2 linked regions of the Macaca mulatta genome follow. The protein of the gene in region 1 interacts with the protein of each later gene in a biochemical or structural test. Links are inferred from orthologs where the notes say so. Each region holds a gene or a part of one and is shown on either strand. Other genes may lie near its edges.

What was found.
Region 2: the proteins of NRIP1 (region 1) and THRA form a complex in vitro, tested with the Homo sapiens proteins (4 studies listed by BioGRID). The link is inferred for Macaca mulatta from reciprocal best matches to the Homo sapiens genes NRIP1 and THRA.

The regions. Positions count from the first base shown.
Region 1 is NC_133408.1:32,665,802-32,671,075, reverse strand, and holds the start of NRIP1 (nuclear receptor-interacting protein 1), read right to left. Parts: upstream 3,365-5,274; 5' UTR 3,153-3,364; intron 2,417-3,152; exon of another isoform or gene 2,161-2,416; intron 1-2,160. UniProt on the Homo sapiens protein: Modulates transcriptional activation by steroid receptors such as NR3C1, NR3C2 and ESR1. Also modulates transcriptional repression by nuclear hormone receptors.
Region 2 is NC_133421.1:64,420,427-64,425,699, reverse strand, and holds the start of THRA (thyroid hormone receptor alpha), read right to left. Parts: upstream 3,584-5,273; 5' UTR 3,456-3,583; intron 1-3,455.

The DNA.
Region 1 (5,274 bases):
GTTCGCTTGGATGGCCTTTCGAAAGCTAGTACTTCTTAATCATTTTCGACTGTATCAGAACTATAACAGGCATGTCAATTTAAGCAAACTTCATGAGCAATAAACTAACAAACAGACTCTAGGTGGTGGTATAGGTTATTTTTTATCATGATGTTTTGCACTTACAACCGCAAGAGTCAGAAAAGCCTTTAGTCTCTTCACACATTTCTTTAGTGCAAAGTTAACAACATTTTAGGCTGTTAAAATTAGCAAAATCCAAGTTCTACAGAGTTTGCAAATGCATGTAAAACAGGCATTAAACCTGGTTTTCAACTAACTTCCCACAGGCATTAAACCTGCCTTTTTCACCTAACTCATTTGAATAAAATCAACAACGAACAGTCCTTTTTTTTTTTTTTTTTTTTTTGGATGTGTATTTTGCTCACACTCCTAGGGCACTTCCCAGGGTAAGTTTGGAAAGAGGTCTTTCTCCACTAGAGTATGACACAGACTAGAGCAACCAATCCTGTAACCTGCAGGGCAGTAGCTGTTCCACTAATTGATTCTCCTTCTTTGTCTCTAGGAACTATGCCCAGGCAGAAAAAAAGTTACTATAGGTGATGAAGCCAGCGCTCCCCTGAACCAAATAAACCCTATCGACATTACCAAACTGCTGGGCAAAAGCAGAGCAATTCACTTACTTCGAAGGTGAAAACACTTCAACATACACCAGGCGGCAACCGACACTTAGGGGCTAAGCAGATGAAACACCATTTGTTTAAAAAGTCTATTATCTCACTGTCTCTTCCACAAAGGTGGAAAACTGATGATTAAACATTGAATAATGCCACCCACTTACTAAACCTATGATTCACTAATAAGCATTCAATGCAATTCATAACTTTAAAGAATGAATTACCGAAGCCCCTTGCTTCACAAATTTTCCCAAGAAACAGAAAGAGCATTCATCACCTATAATCCGACAACCATTTTTACTACGGACACCTACAGATGGCTTCTCTTCCTCTAACGACACAATTTCCTTCACAATCCCACATGTAATCATTTACAATACCAGAGACAAACTCCACCTCAGTTCCACCAGCCGAGTTTTTAAAAATCCTTGTGCCTAAGAACGTCTTCTTTCCCCAAAGTAAAATGTGCCATTAAAAAATATTTTTAAAAAGCAAAAGTGCTTATCATTCCGTACTTCTTTTACTACCTTCAGCAGCCAATTACTGACGTGATAAAAGGTAGAAACTCCTGGAATGCTTCAGAGATCAACATGTGTCACAGACTCCCAGCCTGTCCGCCTCTAAGACACAGTTGGTTCCTTTGTTCCTTCAGACTGAACACCAACTCCTGATTAAAATTGGGAAACTACTTTGGAAGGGATGTGAGGGTCTGCAGAATACGTCCACGGAAACCTTCATAAAACAATATGCAATAGTAGTAAGGTGGGGACAGCAGAAGGGAGAAAGGGCAGCCTCCCGGACTTCCACGGGGCTCACCCTAAATGGGGGCCGGCCCCTGGCTCCTGGTAAAATGATGGCTGAGGCCTCGGGTCCGTGAGCCACGCCATCCGGGGGGGACGGCGAGTGCGGGCAGAGCGGGCCTGGGGTCCGTTGGGGGCCGGGCGAGCTGTCCGTTTTCCTATTCACTTTCCCAGCCGGGTATCCAGCGAGCACGGAGCAGGCAGGCACCCAGGCGAAAGGCGCCGCCCAGGATCCGGCTGGACAGCAGGATCGAGAGCGGCGCGGCGAGCGGTGCCCGAGGTTCGCGACCGAGAGGGCAGGCGAGCGAGGGGCAACCCCGACCCGGCCCCCCGAGCTCCAGTGTCCGACCCCGCGCAGGGGCCACGCGACGGCCGCCCCCTTGCCCAGAACTGGCACGGACGGGCGGGCCGACCCGGGGCCACTCCACAACTTGCCGGCCCGCCGCCCCGGCCCCCCGCGAGAACCCGGGGAGACTCGAACCAGGCAGCAGAGGCAGGATTTCCCCGGAAACGCGCCCTCCACGCCGCCCCGTGCGCGCCCGCGGCCGGCCGCGCTGCCCCCGCCGCCCCGACGCCCCCGCGGCCCTGCCCGCCAAGCCAGCGCCGACCCGGGCCGCGCTCCGGGGCCGTTTCCGGCGGCGCCGGCGGCCGCTACTCTGGGCGCCCTGGCCGCGGCCGTCACTCACCCCAGGCCGCCGCGGCTCCCAGCCTCCGGCTCCGTCAGGCTCGGTCCGCGAAGGCGCCTGCCGCCCCGTCCTGGCCCGGCACCCCGGCGAGCTCTTCCCTCCGACCAGCGGCGCTCCCGGCGCAGCGGCGGACGCGAGGCCACGGGCGGACGGGCGCGCGCGGGTGGCGGGCGGGCGTGGGGCCGGATCGTCCCTGCGCCTCGCCGCCGCCTCCTCCGCCGCCGCCTCCCGAGTTCGGGGCTCTGCTGCAATGTCTGCGAGGCTGACTTTGAGCGCCTCGCTCGCCGCCCGCCCGCCCGCAGCCGCGCTCCTCCCTCCGCCGCCGAGTCCGCCGCGGCCCAGTCCCTCCCCTCGCCGCCCCACGCCATTCAGCTCTTCAGCCAAGTTTCTTAACCCTTTTCTCCCCCTCCCTCCCATTGTCAGCCGGTCAGGAGGAAGCCGTGCGGGTCCGGGCCGCTCGCGGGAGCTACGGAGCCCCCTATGGTTCGTGGATTTCCTCCTCGCCTGCTCTCCGGGTGGCTCAGACGGGGCTGCAGGGCCCGGAGGCAGCGAAAGGACCGCGTCCCCAAGAGAGGGGCTGCTCGGCGCGCCCGGGCCGTCCTCCGGGCTCCCAGCTCTGTCCAGCCGCCCGCGACCGCTGCAGGCGCCTGGACAGCTCCTCCTGGGAACCCGGGGAAGCGCTCTCGGGACCCAGGCCGAATGCTCCCGTTTGGGCAGAGCCTGGGGACCGGGGCACCCCAGACGCCCCAGGGTCCCCGCCTGGGTGCTGGCGCCTTAAAAGTCTACCTCCTCCCCTTCACCCCACAACACGCGCTCCCTGCGCCCCCTTTCACCCCCCCACCCAATTTCTATCTCCTTGTAATCTCTGTGTCCTGCTTTAATCTTGGGGGGCGCGGGCGCGAACTCTGGGTCACTTTGACCCCACGCCCAGCACGTAGTAGGCACCCAGCCCTCATGTGGAGCGACTCCGGGAGGAAAACTAGGAAGGAGACCTGAGGAGCGCCCCGCTCAGCTCCCTGGACAGACGTAGGACCCAGGAGCAGGGTTAATCCTCGGCTGCTTTGTCACTGCGAAGTCTCCAGCGGAGTCTGTCAGCCAATCTACATCATCCCCGGGAAGGATCTGACCCAACCAGACAAGGCAAAAGGAGCAGAGCTGCTACTTCTTCAGCAGCTCTCCTCGGTTCAGTCTCCGAATAAGAAATAACAATTACATCACGAGGCCGGGGCGGCAGCGCGGTGGAGCCTCTTGGTTTCCTGCAGCCTAATCTCGCTGAACCCGCCTCTAAATTGGGGGGGCTACAGACTGGTGAAACGAGAAAGTGGAGGGAGGAGAGAGTCATACGAAACCATAATTTCCCCTTATCCGTGTATTTGCTGTTTTAAAAATCGTATCCTCAGCGCTCCCCAAACATCTCCCTAGAACTATTAACACCCCCTCAACACCTCCCCAGATGTCAGGTTTCTTTTTGACTTGAGCATCCAGCATTTAGTAATTCGCCATGAAAAAAATTACCAGGGGAAACCAATGTTGTTGCTGAAATTGTTTTTGCTTGACACAAAAAAGCTAAAGTATAGCTTAGTCTCACCCGAAATTCTGAAATGGCATGCCTGTGTTAAAACACTTATTACATAAGACAAATGAGCCGATGAGGCACTCCATTCTTACATGTAGGTTTTTATATCCTGAAGAATTTGATAGCATTTGAAAATGGAGTTGCTAATGCGCTTAAAAAACAACAACTATCCAAGTCATGAAACTGTATTCTATGCCTGTTATGTAATGGCTGTATTGTGTACTGCAAATTTCACTTAACCTTTAAAAATATGAATGAGAGTTTTAGAATACTGTCACAGTCTTGAAAGTGAAAGCAATTTTTCAAATTAATGCTTAATAAATTCAGCACCTAGCACAGTGCCGGGCACATGGTACCGATGTTTTCCTTAGTGACAATGGCACTTTTAAAAACAATTATTTTACATCACCCTACTGATTGAACTATGCAATCTGTTGCCATTTTAAAAAGTTAAACCTCATATAATACCATATTATTTGCATATACCACAATTCAAAATCTGCTGTAGGCAAATTAGTAAAGGCTGCTGTTTTTTAGTGCATCATTTATTCAAAATTGATACAAAGCAAACCGTTTCAATGATGACCAGCGTAATTGGAGCTTGGCCCCTTAGTGGGGGTCAAACTTTTTTTGCGAAAATTATTTTTAACCATAATACAAAGATTTTTCTACAATGTATTGCAAATGTTTCTCTTAAGCGGTTTATTGAACATCATTTAGCATTTTCTTGACAATTCAGTGTCAATTTTATTAAAAGTAATTGTTGTAGTAGGTTGTAGTGGATTCAGGAAATATATCCAGTTCCTATTCTATATTCTTCCTAGGTGTTAGGGATTCTCCCAGGAGGTCCAAAAGCTATCAGTCGCTACACCAAAGGACTGTAGGATGCCATGACTTAATGATTATCTCTGCCTTTTGTAATTTCTCTCTCTCCCCCTTCACTAACTGACAATCTGTTTTGCTTACTGTTACTAGCACAGCTGTCACTAACATTCTCCTCATCTTCTGATTGGTAACTTCCAGTCTAGTGCGGACTGGGAATCCAGATAGCCTCACTTGTCACAATTCTGTCTAAAGTAAACTTAATAGGTTCTGGGTAAGGGACTAATGGCTCACCAAGGAGTAGGGTGCACACACACCTTAGTGCATAGACTATGGAAAGATATTTGGACTACTCAAATCTATCTTTTAAATGCATTCCTCTTCTTAACCAGGTTTTGAACCACGGAGATTGCCCAACAAGCCAAGAATTTTCCAGCCCTCCAACATTGGTGTTAAAAAGTCCACTGCTATATGCTAGATGACTTCCCAAAGCTGTTCACTTATTATTATTCTGTTTTCTCAACCCCACAAAAATCCAGTCACTGAAATCCTGAACTCTTTTGATAGTGGCATGAGTGTTAAGTTAATTGCACACCTCTTGTGGAATTCATTTTCACTTAATCTTGCTAATTATGTGGAGACTATTTTGTTTGTTGTTGTTCTTTGTTTTTTAAAATAAATCAATACCTAAATTTCCTGGCTAACAGAGTCATTGC
Region 2 (5,273 bases), on another chromosome or scaffold:
TCTCCTGAGTAGCTGGGATTACAGGAGCCCACCACCATGCCCAACTAATTTTGTATTTTTAGTAGAGATGAGGTTTCACCATCTTGGTCAGGCTGGTCTTGAACGCCTGACCTCAGGTGATCTGCCTGCCTCGGCCTCCCAGTGTGCTGGGATTACAGGCGTGAGCCACTGTGCCCAGCCCAATGCCTTGTTCCTTCATCCAGCTATATGTTCCCTGAGACCAAGCCTCAGTCCTTCCCCTCTGTAGCTGCCCTGTGGGTGCCTCCACCTCCAAATAGGCCAAGGCTAGAGGGGGGCATGGTGAGAAGTGCTTGGTGCCCCTGGGCTCTGTGTCTCCTACCCCAGTCCCCCCTCCTCAAATTCCCTTTCCGGAAGAGGTACCCCTTCTAGGCTGGAACCTGCACTCATGGGTGGGCCTCGCTTAGCACACACTTAGTCTGGGCAGCTGTGCCCTCAGAACCAGGCCCTGAGGCTGGGCAAAGAGGACACAGCTGTTGGGCATCTCTGAGGTGGGCCTCAGCTGCCAGGGGTGTGGAGAAAGGCCATTGTGAGCCCTGCAGTGGACCCAACTCAGCAGGGTCCTGCCAGCTCCCCCACTGCCCATGGGGGCGGTTCTTTTCCAGCTTGGGCCAGTGTGGGGGGCTTGCTTAAGAGCTGCTAGCTGGCTGCAGCCTGCACCCTGAGGGTGCCCACAGAACTGGTGTCTCCAGACATGCAGGCCCGAGGGGTCAGCATGGGCAGTGGCTGACCCCCCCTCTCTTCCCCCGTTCCCAGCCCCTAAAACTTGCTGGCCACAGCTGCAGCACTAAGGAAGTGCAGGAAGTCCTGAGCAGCCAGCTGAGCCCCCCGCCCCCCACCCCAACCTCAAGCTGACCCCAGAGGCTGCACAGGGGGGGCCGAGGGGCGGAGCTTGGGTATTAACAACTGGAAAAGTATGAAGAACATTGCTGCCAGTCCCCAGCTCTGAGACAAGGACAGGGGTAGACGGGGGGTAGCGACAGGGCGAGAGAGAGTTACAGACTGGCAGAGGAAAAAGGAGAGAGGGAGGGAGAATCAGACACTGCAAGACAGAACAACAGAAAGAGAGACAGAGTTAGAGAGAAATTCCAAGTCAAAAATACACATCACTCATACAGACACTCGTCAGCCGATGGCCTCTTAAGGAAAGCTTCCAAGTTTGGACAGAAGGGTCCAGGTGGGAAAAAGGGCCAGACTCAAGGTGGGATGCAGGAACTCAGCTGGGGGTGACTGACTGTTCCCAGGAAAGGCCCAGGCAAATGACTCAGAGCAGGGGCAGTTAGACACCCCAGAGCTTTTAGGGTAGGGAGAAGAGCAGCTCTCCCCTCCCCCAGCAGTCAAGAGAATCCCAGCTTCTAGAAGTCACTGGATACTGCTTTGAGCCCATGACTCGGCCCTCTGGAACCCCCCTGAACCCACTGTCTTTGCTCTTGTTTCTCTGTCCCTCTAAAAGAAAGAAAGAAAAAAAAGAAAAAAAAAAAAAAAGCCCATTCCCGCACAGTGGCTGAGCCTAGAGGAAAAAGGGAGGAGGAAGCTGAAGGGGAAAAGTCTGTGATTGTGTGCATCTAAGTGTGTGCTTGGCTGCACAGGCTCCAGTTGTGTGCATCTGGGGTTGTGTGGACACGACTGTTGGTGTGGACCTGCAACTGTGGGGACCTGGGCCTCATGAACTCGTTCTGTACCTTAGTTCAGGGGACCATGTGCAAATGAGTGCACCTGTGTCTGCAGGTTCCACAGTCAATCAACTCACAAGTATTTACAGAGCAGCCCTTGTGCTAGGCTCTGGGTGGCATCCAGAGCTCTTTAAGTGATTCTCCCAGGTCTCTAAGAGCTCACTGTCTAGTAGGGTGGTATCTCAATCGATAGAGACCAAGAAGATGTCATTAGGAATGCAGGCTTTGCACCATTACGCAGGAACACCTTTTCATACAGCCAAATTTAATATTCTTGGGAGCAAGGGTTTTGTTGCCTGCAGAACCTCAGAGTTCCACAGTAAGAGTCCAGGAAAATACTTGTTGCTAAGTTGTGTATACATGTGTTGATGTGTAACTGTGTTTGCATCTGACTGAGTGATAGCGACTGTCACGGCAAGCAATGATGTCTGTGTGACTGGGCTCATGCGAGCACGTGTGTGCCTGTGAGTGACAGGGTCTTTTGTAATTGTGCGGCTGTGTGCAACTGCTCTGTGTGCATGCATGCATGTGACAGTGACTTTTTATGTGTGGGTGACAGCAACTCCTCCTTGCCCCAGTGTGTGACAGCATCTCCGTGTGACCCTGTGTGTGGGTGGGTATGTGCATGGGTCGGTCCCCATGCTCTTGGTCTCCCGTGGGTATATCCCACCCGTCTGAGCTCCACGGTGCAGCAGCAGCCTGCCTCTTCCCTTGTCCCCATGTGGGTGTGTCCAGTAGCTCCTGTCCTTGAGTCCGCCTGGGTGTCCCTGGGTGTGCATGTGGCTGTCTGTGTGGACATATCTCTGTGTCTGCATGTCACTTTTGCTTCCCCCCCTTATTTTGGACAACAGCCCCCTTCATCCCCTCCCCCTCCTGGAGCCAAAGGCAGCACTGAGGGGCAGGCTCCCACCTCACTGTCTTTCCTTCTGTGTCCCCCACCCCCACCCCTGGAACGGTGGTTCTTTCAATTGCCCCTGTCATCCCCCAGGCCTTTCTTTCACGCTGGACAAGGGAGGGCCCCACATGCAGAAGGGGCACCAGAGACACGTTGCAAGGGGAGGGAAACAAGGTGGGGTACACAAACAGGTCCATTTCTCCCTGTCCTCCCCAGCCAGCAACTCTCCTAATCATCTAGGCACCATCAAGTACACCCCCTCCACACACACATTCCCCCCAACAGCCGCGTTTTTGCAATTAGGAGTGTTGCAACCAGACAGCCATGCTCAACTGGGAGGCGGGTGAAGCGAGGGGGGGAACTTCCCTCTCCCAGGACCCGTGCAAGCCCACCACCGCCACCGCACTCATACTGCCCTCCGCAGCTGGAGGCAGCTTTGCAAAGGCCACTCGGCCTCAGAGGCTAGGGGTGGGGGCTGGGGGGGGCAGGCCTCCGGCGCACCGTAAACAAACCGCGGCGCGGCGGGCGGGGGGAGCTCCGGCGGCCGGCAACGGGGCCCGGCCCGGGAATGCGCAGCAGACTGGCCGGACAGAGGCCGGGCGGGCCCTCGAGGGGGAGGCTCGGACGCCATCTCCGCCTGCGAACCCCGGGGCCCACCGACCTCCTACAACACCTCCCTTCCCCAGGGCGTCAGTTGACGCTCCCGGGCTCGTGACAGGGTCACTGGGGTGCCGGGAAAGGCTGAGGCTGGCAGCGGGTACCCCCTGGGCGCCCCCAGCCCGCCTGGGAGCTGGCCACGGAGCCCCGCGGCTTTGCATAATCAATCGCAAGGCATTTGCATATTAATGCCCTCGCTCCCTCCTCCTTACCTCGGCGTGGCGCGCTGGACCGGGCTGGGCAGCGACGCGGGGGTCTCAGCGCCCCGTGCTGGGGGCGTCCATGGGGGGCCGGTGGGGCCCGGGCCGCCCGCCTCCTGCGCCCGGGTGTGAGTGCGAGTGAGCGCGGGGGGGGCGGGGGGCGAGTGTGGCGGCCCCGCGGCTCCTCCGGCAGAGGCGGCGGCCGCTCTGGCTCCTCCCTCCCCCGCCCCGCTCCGGCTGGGGCTCGGGCTCGGCGCGCCCGGCCGGCTCGCGGCTGCTCCCTGCAGGCCGCCTCGCCGCCGCCCGCCCCCGCCCCCCGCCCCCTGCCGCGCCCCGGGACCCCCGCCAGAGGCCCGGCCGCCCCTCGGCCGCTTCTGCCCCGCCCCGCTCTGACTCGCCCTCCCCCGCCCGGGCGGCTCCCGCAGGAGTGGGTACTTGGTGACATATTTTGGAAAAGATGTCATTAAAAAATAGCCTTTGCTTGCCGGGAGAATTGGGGGGTTTTCGGGTGTGCACCGTGGGGGTGGAGGAGGAAGTATCGACGAGCCGCCTGCACCTTATACATGGGGGAGAAAGTCTAAACACCAAATGCTTGCAGGTGTAGAGTTTGTTTGGGTGTTCGGGTCCCTTCTCCGCCAGTAACTCACTGTGTGACCTTGACAAATCGCCACTGCTGTCGGGGGCAGAGCTTCCTCAAGCTTCAGGTGCGAAGGCTGGGCAGGTGACCCCTGATGTCCTTTTAACTTCAATCATCTTACGTTTTTAATCCTTGTGGGGGCTCATTCCCCGTTACCTCCCTCCCCTCTCATTTCTAACATCAATACCGAACCACTGCCTCCCCTTTCCAACGTCACCCTTCTCCATATAGGCTCTTTCTATTCTCTGTCACCAGCCATTTCCCCAACAATCTGCTCCCTCTCCTGCGCTGGGGAGGGGACAAGAGCTGCCATACCCCCTCAATTCCTAGCTCCCCGGTGATGGTATTTCCCCCCATGTTTGCTCCCACGAAAATCCAAATGGTACCAGAGTCAACCTAAGGAAGACGGTGGGCTGCGTACAAATGGACCCCCTAACCCAACCCAAAGGAGAGGTCTCCACCATGCCAGCCCCACCCCCAGCACACACATACACACACCACACACCTGCATTCATGGACATAAAACCAACCCAGTGACGCCAGAGCACCTTTCATCTCAGGATCTCCTAGCGCCAGGCTGAGCCCTAATTACCCCAGCACCCCCCTGGCCCCGCCGGTTCCCCTGCTGTCATTAGCCCAGTTTTACCAGCGGGGGCCACGGCCTTCCCACGGCTCTCAGGGTGGGGCTCTGGCTACACAGTCTGCTCTTGGGGAGGGGTGTGTGTGTGTATGCGAGTGTGTGTGTGTTAGGGGGAGCTGCTCGGCTAATCGCCCAGTTTATACTGGGCAGAATCACTTGGTGAGTGTGGGATTCTGACCCACAGCTTACCCAAGTTGGGTTGCCCTTGCTCATGTCTTAGTATCAGCCACCTGCATCCTCAGTGCTGTTGAAGCCACTTCTTTCACAGGGGGTACTGGAGTTTGTAATTCTTGGTGGAGGGGAGGGTACCTCTCTTGGGGTCCCTGGAACTATGGAGATGAGAAAAGCAACTGGGATGAAACCTATAGCGTGCAGAGTGCAGTGGTGGTGTTGAGGGCATGCCATGGGTGAAGGGAGCCTGTGGTGTGCAGTGGCAGCTGTAATGGTGAATTGAGGCTGCAGCGTGCGAAGCCTCCATGCAGTAAGCGAACCTGTGTTCAGTCTGGGCTCACAGGAGACAAGCAACAGCTGCAGTGTGGGGCAGGAGGCTGCA